3 linked regions of the Xenopus tropicalis genome follow. The protein of the gene in region 3 purifies or fractionates together with the protein of the main gene of each other region. This does not show direct contact. Links are inferred from orthologs where the notes say so. Each region holds a gene or a part of one and is shown on either strand. Other genes may lie near its edges.

What was found.
Region 1: the proteins of nup214 (region 3) and nup88 purify together in Homo sapiens (affinity purification with mass spectrometry; 6 studies listed by BioGRID and IntAct, counting the BioPlex papers as one, with this or other methods). This does not show direct contact. The link is inferred for Xenopus tropicalis from reciprocal best matches to the Homo sapiens genes NUP214 and NUP88.
Region 2: the proteins of nup214 (region 3) and xpo1 purify together in Homo sapiens (affinity purification with western blotting; 4 studies listed by BioGRID and IntAct, with this or other methods). This does not show direct contact. The link is inferred for Xenopus tropicalis from reciprocal best matches to the Homo sapiens genes NUP214 and XPO1.

Annotation. Positions count from the first base shown.
Region 1 is NC_030678.2:105,084,211-105,088,626, reverse strand, and holds the start of nup88 (nuclear pore complex protein Nup88), read left to right. Parts: upstream 1-1,498; 5' UTR 1,499-1,559; coding exon 1,560-1,811; intron 1,812-3,170; coding exon 3,171-3,340; intron 3,341-4,416. Other genes in the region: rpain (RPA-interacting protein), read right to left, coding at 119-190. UniProt on the Homo sapiens protein: Component of nuclear pore complex.
Region 2 is NC_030681.2:33,578,919-33,582,569, forward strand, and holds the end of xpo1 (exportin-1), read left to right. Parts: intron 1-108; coding exon 109-277; intron 278-613; coding exon 614-748; intron 749-938; coding exon 939-1,098; intron 1,099-1,801; coding exon 1,802-1,898; intron 1,899-2,124; coding exon 2,125-2,271; 3' UTR 2,272-3,174; downstream 3,175-3,651. UniProt on the Homo sapiens protein: Mediates the nuclear export of cellular proteins (cargos) bearing a leucine-rich nuclear export signal (NES) and of RNAs.
Region 3 is NC_030684.2:12,374,765-12,378,415, forward strand, and holds part of nup214 (nuclear pore complex protein Nup214), read right to left. Parts: intron 3,018-3,651; coding exon 2,947-3,017; intron 2,850-2,946; coding exon 1,191-2,849; intron 1,104-1,190; coding exon 1,033-1,103; intron 1-1,032. UniProt on the Homo sapiens protein: Part of the nuclear pore complex. Has a critical role in nucleocytoplasmic transport.

The sequences.
Region 1 (4,416 bases), on a different chromosome or scaffold from region 3:
CTATTTTAACCTTAGACATGTCAATTCTTTGAGCAAACCAAAGGACAAGCGAACACACTTTTATACCAAGCGCTTAACCATATACGCATAAAAAGGAAACCAACAATAGTCCCGTCACCTTTCTGTAGGTCTCCTTCCAAGGAGGGGTAGTTCCCTTATACAAAGCGCGATGCCTCCTTTCAGCCTCCATCACAATAAACAAATCACCAATAACTTCCAAAAGCGCCGCCTAGTAAAAGCTTTTAAATACTTCCTTACCACGTGACGGTGCTTGATACTTGCGCGGTGTATGACGGATATTGTAGTCTTTATGTGTAGCAACTGTTGTGGCGTGTGTTATTTTTGTTTCTTTAATTTCACGCATGAGCTACTTACAAGTGATTGTTTTGAAAGTTTTGGTTATAATGTAGAATTATATTTTTAGACTACAGAGCTCTGTATTTGAGACATATTGATATCCTGATGTTTTCAGGCAATGCAATATTTTCCCACAATGCAAGAGTATTGTCAGGTACCGCAAAGTACCTAAATATTTAAGCTTGGTGTAGTGGCCGCAAACATTTGTGTTGTTTAGTGAATTGTGTATATTTGGGTACAACGTGCATCTTTGACATTTTGTGTGGCGAGCAGGCAGAACGTGTAATAAACGTGTCAACTACCCCTTTTATTAAGTTAATGCTCGACTCTGGGCATTCCCCATAGGTAATGAAGCCTGCTTCTTCACTTTTATATGAATTGCTGCATGTAATACACCACACATGCGGCAATCCAAGGTAATCGCTCAAAATGCATTTTCAGGTGATTACCAGGGATCGCCCTGGTAATCATTTCTACAATACTCTTGTATTTGTGTTTGTTTTTTACACTGGCTAACACAGTGCTACCTTTTTTGTTTTGTGATTTTCCATGTGGCAATTCACACAACCACAGCAGGGCAGGTAGTGTCAGCTGCTTCATTGCCCATGAGAGTGGAGATCTGCTAGCTAATGAAGCACCCCGTGTGCGAGTACCTTATCAAATTTTCAGGGCAGGAAAATAGATCGTACAGTCCTTAAAAACTTTAATATTAGAGTGTAAGAGATTTTGGAATCAGTCCTTCCTTTATTTCTAATAATAAAAAGCACCTCCAGTCTAAAATACTTCTAATGGAGACTTTGTTTCACTCAATTTAATAGCTATTGCTTAGTTTAGCCAAACAAGCAGTCTATAATTCCTTGTGACAATATACCTTCTGCTAAGCACTGCAGCTATGAAATACGGATGAAGAAAGGGATGTTCCATTTATGTATAATTAAACGCACGCAGAATAATGTCATGACATTTATGCTGTGCAGTACAAATCCCTGCAAATTTAACGGGAAAATATCTCAAGTCCTATGCTAGGGCTCCAGACCAGAAACATACTGGGAGCCCCTATTGGCTGGTTCATTATAGCGCGCATAACTTGCTGATATTAGACAAGGGAGGGTGTTAGAAGCCGGCAGACGCATCTGATTGGTCACGTCCCGCAACGTCACTAGTATTAGCCAGTGCGGGGGTTTTGATGGTGGAAGTGAAAGATGGCGGCGGGGGAACATTGGCAGAGCTCGCTTAGTGAACATGCGCTCTTCTCCCGTCTGAAAGAACGGACGAGGGAAGTCGAAGAACTTAGGGAAGAGGGTGAAAGGCGGACAAGGAAAGACAAGCAACTGAGGAACTTGCTGTGCGTCCTCGATGGAGATCTATTGGTGTGGGACTCGGAGGAGTGCGCCTTTCTCACTGTCAGACTGAGGAGTCTAAGTGTGGAGAGCACAGGGAGCAGTGGTGAGCAGGTAAGTGAGCCAGGTATCATTCCAGCACTTGTACAACTGAGCATGGTAGCTGCCTGCTGAGAGATGTCTATCCTAGGCCCCTTCATTTATTGGTGAACTACTACTGCTATTGTCGTTATAACAGCTAAAAGTTGGTGATGTTGTTGGGCCTCAGGTTCCCCATATGGCTTGGACATTTCTAGCTCCTCTGACCTTCCTTTTTAAAGTAAATAACTTGCTGCTTCATTTACTGAGTGCCCCCTAAGAATGTACACCAATTATCTTCCTTTTGAAGACAAATTACAAATGTATTGTCATGGCTTGTTTTCATTTTTGTCTTGTTAAAAGGAATGGATGGAATTACTTGGGGAAATACTGGCCTCCGTTACCTTTTTTTTTTTTTCCCCCTTATCGCAACCCTAGACACTGGTATTTAAAGGACATGTAAACCCCACACACACAAATTTAATCAGAGAACAGCCTCCTTGAAATCTTTCAATACCTGCCACTCTGGTTGTCCAGAGGTTAATCGTAAGGCTGCAACATCTCCTTAATCACTTATATTTCCTTCTCCTCCTGTAACCCACTCAGCCCCCTCATCAGGAATTTGCTTTGACTTCTGGTTTGTGGGCATGCTCAGTTGTTCTAAGCTCAGATTACTAAACACACACCCCAGTCTAGCAGCCAGAAGAGATGGCATTGCTGGTTCCCATAGAAACTCAGCTCTAGCTGTCTGCTTTAATTTTTTTCTCCTAACCTCTTCTCCTGAACTCAGCTCAAACAAAGCAGAACTTTTATCATAGACAGTTGTGCCTGTCTGAGCCTGTATTCTTGATGAAATGTATGCTGAATAAGGGTCTGTGTGTGTATGCTGTTTGCAGATTTAAATGTATCTGATTATGTATCAGAGGAAAACTGGCCACCGGGTGAAAGCTGCTATTTGCTTCAGGAACATGTGATGGTGCAGGCAAACAGAGGGGATATATGCAGTACAAATGATGCCATTTGGGTGGGGGAGACGTGCCCAACTGATATACATTGTAGGGAAATGTAGGCTTTACATGTCCTTTAAAGTAAGCAGCTGCTCACCAGCCCACTAAATAGTGATTGGCATCTTACAGAAGCCTCTCTGGCATTTGCCAGAACCCACAGTTTGCCTAGTGCAGACTTAGACTTACACATGTGTCTTAGAGTAACATTTGTCTAATGTGCATGCACAAATCTAAGTCTAACCTGAATTTTAAAATGCTGTTTGGTTATCAAATTAACTCTGAGCTGCAGTTAAAAAAGTGCAAACATAAGAGAGAAAACACACACTAAAAATAAATAGATTTGATTTCAGTTTTGTCAATTTAATGGTTTCTTTTCTTATTGTAATAGAAACTGCTTTGTACAAATCCTCCACTTTTTGAAGTTAATGAGGTGTTGCTAAGCCCCACACAACATCATGTTGCTCTGGTTGGAAGCAAAGGAGTGATGGTGCTGGAGATTCCTAAACGCTGGGGAAAGAAATCTGAATTTGAGGGCGGTGAAAAGACAGTGAACTGCAGGTAATGTATCTCATTTATGGTAAAATAACTTTTAGCGATGTAGAAGTAGAACTTGATTATATATATATATATATATATATATATATATATATATATATATATATATATATATGTGTGTGTGTGTGTGTGTTTTTGATTCCTGTTTCTCTTTGTCTTCTGATGTGTATACTAGTCCCCATAGGTACTTTTGCATTGGTTGTAACTGTGCAGAGCTGATATATGTTTGGATAAAAACCAGCTAAGCTTTATGACAAATATAGCCCCTCCAAACCTTTTGTTAATAGTATACCCCAATGCACCATTTACAGCACTTATAGAGACAGATTTATTGTTTTTTATAACACATGGTTAGCAATGGCTGCAAGGAAAAATGTGCATATGTCGACACAACTAATTGACAGCACATTCTTTATTGTCTTTTTTTATTGGCTATATATATATATTTCTTATATATATATATATGTCCTCCCACACATTTGAGTCTGATGATGGCTATGATAGTAGTTGTCCAACCAACTGAACCAAACACCACATTCCTGTCTCTGTGCTGAGTTGTGAAAAACAGCAGATATGTTGATGATAGATGTTTTTGCACTGGGGCAATTTTTCACTCTAGGGTTTAAATTATTACTTAAAGGAGAAGGAAAGGTGGCATCACAGGGGGGTGGCAAAATGTTAGGCACTCCCTAGGCTGGTGCGCCTATTAGCAGACAATTAAACCAGCTGTGGGTACATACAGGCGAGTGATCCTCTTCCCTTCCCCTTTTGCTGCGATCCTGGTGCCCACACATGCATAGTATAGTCAAAAACCAACTGTTTCGTTAAAGTGCGGCTTTTAATTCTACTGTGCATGCATAGCTGGCACAAAGAAAGAAGACTGAAGAGGATCTCTGGCCTGCATGTACCCTGGGCTGGTGCATTTTTTTGATAACAGGAGCACCAGCCAGGGGTATCAGGTAAGTGAATACAATCACAAGGGGGTGCTTAACATTTTGGCACCTCCCAGTGATTCCACCTTCTTTAAAGGGATAGTGACATATTTCAGGTTTTAACAGGACTGTGTCATTATCCTTACA
Region 2 (3,651 bases), on a different chromosome or scaffold from region 3:
ATAACTGTATATAATGGCTATTCCTTTAATGTAATAAAAGGTGGGTAGTTAGAAGTGGGACTTGTATGTGAATCTTCTAGGTGGCTATCATTTTTTCTTCTTGCCTAGGACTTTGAAGAGTATCCAGAGCACAGGACAAACTTTTTCTTGCTTCTTCAAGCTGTGAATTCCCACTGCTTTCCTGCATTTTTGGCTATCCCCCCAGCTCAGTTTAAACTGGTGTTAGATTCTATCATTTGGGCCTTTAAACACACAATGAGAAATGTCGCAGATACAGGTAAGGTATATGCTTGGCTAAACAAGAAAAATATAGTTTTAATTTCAGTCTACATTGTACTTTGGTAGTATAAATGGAAACTACCCCTAACATTGGAAGATGTACTAACTATAACTATCTCTGTGGTCATTTGTTTTAATATAAATTTGCAAAAGACCAAATGTTATATAGAAGGTGCATATAACGCCATGGATTTGTTTTTATGAATTTATAGCCACATAATGTCCACACTTAATAATATATTTATGTCAGTGGATTGTCAAGTGGCAGGCAGTGGTATGGTTGGGCAAATTCTCTGTAGCATTGATTTCCTGTATTGATTTTCCTTCTCTCCAGGTCTACAGATTCTATACACCTTGTTGCAGAATGTTGCTCAAGAGGAAGCTGCAGCTCAGAGTTTCTACCAAACTTATTTCTGTGACATACTTCAGCACATATTCTCCGTTGTAACAGACACATCACATACTGCCGGTACGTTTTATATTGGCCTTATAGAGCTATTCACGATTTAGGACAGCCCTACTAGGCATCTGAAATTTAAAAACCTCATTGCTTTTACACAACTTGTTGCTCTCCCTATTGGAGCTGGTAGTTCATATACATACTATGACTGTTAGTCTACATTAGTTTAATGCTAACTCATTTTCTTTTGGTTTTATAGGGTTAACAATGCACGCATCAATTTTGGCATACATGTTCAATCTAGTGGAAGAAGGAAAAATAAGTACGCCTTTGAATCAAGCTAGTCCTCTTAGCAACCAGCTATTTATTCAAGAATATGTGGCTAACCTTTTAAAGTCTGCATTTCCCCACTTACAAGAGTGAGTATGTTAAATATATGACCATAAAGAAAAGCGCCTTTTATTTTTGTTGTTTTTTTTTTTTTTTAAGACAATAGGGATATTATGTGACTTAATGACAAAAAAAAAGTTGTGTTGGGTTTTTTATGGTATGTGATTTTCAGCTCAGCAGACACCAGAATTCTGGAAATTTCCCTTCCTTTGACTTCAGTGGTATTTTAGTGAAACCTGTCTTGAGCAAAAGCTAAAGGGCAAAACCCTAGAAATCTCACCATGTACCATTGCTTCTAAAGACTGCTAGTTTATATAATGTGATACATATATATAGGCCTCTTATTAAATTCATGATGGCTTTTAAGTATCTGGTTCTCTCGGGATCACTTGGGCCATAAAACCTCTTGAAGGGTCAGATTGGCTCTGGACATTAAAATGAACTTCCCTAGGGGATAATGGAAGTAAGCAGGACACGTTTTAACAGAAAAGCTTTCATTTTATTTTCTTATCAAAGTGCATTATTTCTGAATACATTGACAGTAATAAATGCAAAGTCTTTTCATATGTCCAGGTTTGGTTTTATATTTTGCTCTGAAATCTGCATATTTTGTGTGGGCTTTATACAGTAGAACCTCATTTTTCTGTGCAGAATGTCAGATAGAAATCTATAGGAATGTATAAAATCTTGGTAGTTAATCAAATGTGACTTTTTTCTCTCTGTTCTCTTCAGTGCACAGGTTAAACTTTTTGTGACTGGCCTCTTCAGTTTAAACCAGGATATTCCTGCATTTAAGGAACATCTTAGGGACTTTCTTGTACAGATTAAGGTATGTTGTCAGTGTATTTCTTTCCCTGTCCCCTTCCCCCTCCCTTTACTGATAATTTTCTGTTTTTAAACTTATGTTTAGCTTCACAGTTGTAACTGGAGAAAATGTTTTTTTTTTTTTGTGTATATATTTTAAGACTGTAATGTAATGTAATGCAAAATTTGCTAATTCAGCAATTTATTTCTCTGACGAAGTGACATGTTACATATTGTATTTTTATGTGCAGGAATATGCTGGTGAAGACACCTCTGACCTGTTTCTGGAAGAAAGGGAATCTTCCCTTCGACAAGCCCAAGAGGAAAAACACAAACTCCAGATGTCTGTTCCTGGCATACTTAATCCACATGAAATTCCTGAAGAAATGTGTGACTAGTTTTTAAAAGTCAACTTAAGCCGTTAACTTCCCTCTTCCCGCTAAACATCCAATTTGTTCAGGAAAACATCACTTTGATTATTGTTGACCAAAATGATGCCAATTTGTAAATTATAATGTCACCTAGTGGCCCTTTTTCTTATTATGCGTTTTTGTATAAGAAATTTTCTGTGAAATATCCTTCCATTGTTTAAAGCTTTGGTCATCTTTAGGTTTGCATGACATTAAGGATTTTTTTTCCTTTTTTAAAATTCTTTCATGCCCATTTTATGGCTTTGGGGTTGAGGACAGAAGAACTGATTCAGAACTTGTATTTAGTTAGGTCTGCTAAAATGTAATTCCTCCCCATGAAAGACACATACTTTTTATGAGTTTTTTTTCCCTTTTTCTTTCATATTGATTTTGCAGCCTAGAAGGAATTTCAGTTGATAACAAATTGACTTGTGTAGACAAGTATGGCACTGCTGCATTCGCTGAACAATTAACCGTCATTTAGGGTTGAGGTGGGCTAGACATACATACATACTACAAGTTGAACAGAAGATAATTGGTGCAGCAAGATCATGTGCATATCATCCCATTGTAAAGTGACTTCAGAAAGTATGGGAACACAGTACAGTTAGTTATTTTTACACAGTTTTTTGTTTTGTGTGTGTGCTGTCGCTTTGTCGACAACAGCTTTTTGTTTTCCTCAATGAGGAGTGTTGCTCATTTGTGAGCCTTCATTAACGAGAAGTGAAATGGTTAAAAATATTTATCCTGTTAGAATAGGCTTGCATCTTTTTAACAACTCATAAAACTCTGGCTTTTGAGATGACTTGTACTAATTTACATTGTTTACCATGCTGTAGTGCTTTAAGAACACTACTACTTAAAAAGCAAAATAAACTTGGTTTACATTTACTTGCTTTATTGTCTGTGAATAATTGCAAAATAATACTACTTAAGAATAGAGTAAATCCAGAATTTTGGGATTTGGCCAATACTGAATCCTATGCACAAAATGTTGCTATTTTTTTTACATTTGTATATTCAGATTTGAGAGAATTCATAATTGCTCTTTGGGGAGGAAGTGCATTAAGAACGTTAATATTTTATTTCTGTCTTTCTGAATCTGGCTTTATTAAAGACCTGCTGACATTAATAGTGGCAGCAATCAAATTGTTGGTTACGCCAGATTTGTCTGGAGTTATATTGCACTGCAAATTTATTAATGGGGAGTTCTGGTTACTGCACTTCTGTTTATAGGGAGATAAATGGCTGTACAACGTCTGATAAAACAGCACAAGTTCACACAACGAAGATTGCTCAAAAGATCTATGTAGGTGGCTAAAAAGGTAATTATAGATGCTTGATTAGCAACATAAGCGAGCAGCAGCC
Region 3 (3,651 bases):
CAAAGGCCAAACATCATAGGCCATAAATCCCATTAGATGAGAACCAGTCCCTTGCTTTTGTTTAGGCAAGGACAAAGGGAAAGTGTTATTGGCAGTCAGGAAAGGAAAACCAAACTGAACTAGGGCAGGTCCCCCCCATCTCATTCCTGTACTTTAATTTGGCCACCCCGGTCCCATGAACTTTTAAATCATAATCATTTACTGCTGGTCTAGTACTCAAATGGGCCACCCCTTTCCTGTCCTGGTACAACAGAAGCTACTGTTGTGAACCATTCACATTGGTATTAAGGTGAAGATACACAGAGCTTCCAGTAGCAGCTACTTGTCATAGCTACTAAAATAGACAATGCTGATCATTTACTAATAATTGTCTATACGTGTGTTTTAGCAGAGGCAATTCTCAGTATTGTCTATGGCAGGGGATTTTCTGTAGCTCAGTAGCCATGAAAAAGTAGCTGCTACTAGTAGCTCAGTGTGTCTTTACCCTTAAGGAGCTTGAATGGGAAGCACATGTGTATTGCAAGGCCCTTTATATTATAGACCCCAAGCACAGAAAGCAATTAAACATTGGGGTTTACTGTGAATTTATCCTCTTGTGGCATCAGCTCTGAAGCTAACAGTACATGGGGCATTGTGAAAGTTGCTGTAAGTAGGCAGAAAGCATAGAAAACTAAGGGAAAAGTGGTGCCTAAACTCATCCCACATAGGGGGAAGCCATAGAACAACAGTCTACCCAGGATAGGCAGTATAGGAACATCCTCTGGTGTCCAGATAAGTCTGGAACTTCCACAATGATGATTGATTGACGAGATCTTAACCTCCTGAGGACACTAGAAAAACTGGTCCATGTGCAGCTGAGCTTGGGGGTATAACTAAGATGGAGGTGCTTCTTCTCCTCTAGTGTCCTGCCTCCAAGTCATACAAGCTATACCCCATTGTTCCTGTCCCCACCCAACGAGATGTGAGAGAAAACAGTGTTTTCTCAGTTTGCATGGTACGTGTGTAGGTTACGATAAACACACAAATCCTTACCTGTCCAAAGACACTGGTGTTTCCACTCTGAGACTGACTGAACAAGGAACCAGAAGAGCCGGAAGCAAATCCTACAAAAGCAGAAACCATTATTGACTGGTACATATATTTGAAGGCATTTATAGCAAAAAAAGGGATGGTTGGTGACACACCCTTACCTGCTGGTTGGCCAAAACCAAACACAGAAGATGAGGTGGTGGTTGTAGAGGAGCTGGCACTTCCAAACACAGGGGCAGCTTGGGGGAATGTGGCACTCTGCCCAAAGACTGGAGTACTGCTTTGTCCGAAGAGTCCTCCTGAAGTGGATGTGCCGCTAGTATTGGAAGGTTGCCCAAAAGAGAAGGAACTAGCACTGCTTGTGCTTGCAGCACTGCCAAAAAGGCTGCCGGCGCTAGATGTAGCTGTTGATGCTGGTGGTTGCCCAAAAGCCGGCTGGGCCCCAAAAGCAGGCTGTGCAAAAGGAAAAGTATTTTGGGAGTTGGGAGGACCTTTCCACAATGAAGGAGCTTGGCCAAAGGAGGGCTGTCCAAAGCCTCCGCTCCCACCTGTCGTACCAAATGTAGATGTGCCAAATCCTGTACTGGCTGTTGTACTAACGGAACTGCTGGTCGGCTGAGCAAAAGGAGAGGGAGTTGAACCAGAAGCTACGGCTTGGCCGAATACTGGGGTGGACACCGCTGCTGGAGTGGACGCTGCACTTGCAGTTGATTGAGGAAACGCAGAACTTGCAGCAGTTGGCTGTACTGGTAGAGATACAGTCTGTGTGTTTTCTGCAGCGGGAGCAGCAGCAGCAACGGGGGGTGCACTTGTAACCAGCACTGGCACCTGGGAGGAAAGGCCTACAGCCGGGGTACTTGCTGAAGGGGTTTGAGATGCAACCACTGTGGATGTGAAAGCTACATTCTGACCTGAAATGACCGAGGTAGAGAGAGGGGGAACCGCCGCTCCTTCTACCTTTGCATCAGCTGTGGGAGGAATTGCAAGAGTTGGTACAGGTGGGGGCAAAACAGTGGCAGTTGTTGCTGCAGGAGTCACTGTGGCAACCTGTTCGGCAACTGACTGACTGGTCAGTGCTTGTTGCTGGGAAGTGGATGAATCTGCAGGTTCAGACACAGGTTTTATTGGCTGCTTAACATCCAGTCCGCTGTTGACAGGAGCTGAAGGAATTGTTGTTGCTGGGGCTGGAGCTGTGGAAACCAGGAGGCTTTGGAACGAGGCCGGAACTGCAGAGGTAGCTCCCGTTGAAGCGGCAGTGCTCTGTGGCAGCCCAAAAGAGAAGGCTGGCTTGTTGCCACTTTGGGTGAATGCACTTGCTGCAGATCCTGTACTTGTTAACTGCGCATTTCCAAATAAAGAACCAGAGGTGCTGCCGGTTGAGGATGGTGCTTCTCCAGCCTTCGCTGGCTGCGGAGCTCCACTAAAACTAAACAAACCAGCGTTACTGGGCAACTTGACTGGTTGTGCAGCAGGGGGCGCTTTGGCAACTTCTGCCTTGGACGCCTCATCAGCCTGACCAACACGCAGGCCTGAGAAGCTTCCTAAAGTCTCTCCACCTGAAAACCCTTGAAATAGGCCATCCCCGGGTTTGCCGATGGCTGCAGCAGTGCTAGTAACGGTGGATGAGGATGACACGCCTGTAACAACACTAGGTTTGCCCAATGTGGATTCCACGGTGGAAGTACTGGAGGTGGAGGAAGCAGTTTTAACTGATCCAAAAGAAAACGATCCTTCTGCCCCAGGACCAAATAAAGACTTGCTGGTACCTCCAAACACAAAGGAGGATGGTTGGTTGGAATCCCTTGCAGCGGTAACAGAACCTGAAAAAGGAAAGAAAATTGCAGTCCATCATATCACCATGATAGTAGTTCAAGCAGAACAAGAACAGTAATATATATATTTTCCAGGGTGAGTTACCTGCAGAGCTGCCTCCCATGGCAGAGGTTGTAACAGGAGCAGAAGATACACTGTTGAAACTGAAACCACTGCTGTGAACACAAAAATGGAAGTGAGAGAATGAAGATGTTTTTTTTTCTTATAGTTACAAGTTATAAGCATTCATCTGCTTCAGGGACACTGCAAGCCCTGTTTCAGAAGTCACTGTTGGAATAGTTTAGTCGGACTGGGGGACCAATGATCCACTCGGAACCTAACTCAAGGGCCCACCACCCAGAAACCGCTGTTCCTGTTCCACTTTTTACTGTGCATTCCATAGTGGAACACATGGCAGCAGAGTCGTGCTGGCTGGGATCGCTTGCTTGCGAGTAGGTGGCAGGGCGACACAGGGTCCAGTATCCCAGTGGGCCAGTCCAACTCAGCCACCACTGGCCTCTAGCAGTAAAGGGCTCTTCCTCCAAAAAAAACATGCCTGCAATAGCATCCCATTTTCATTTCTGCTAACTCATAGCACACAATCTTGGCTGCTGTCGGAAGCTTAGCTACTCACCAGCAGCCCAGAGCACACTGAGCATGTGCAGTGTCACTGACACAAAAAGATGGCCGAACAAGAACCAAAATGGGGAGCTATTTTAAGGCCTGGATCATTACAGTTATAGGACGCCTGGACTTCACGGCTGGTACATTAAGTTCAGTATATAAACTACAGCACTATAAGGCACATTC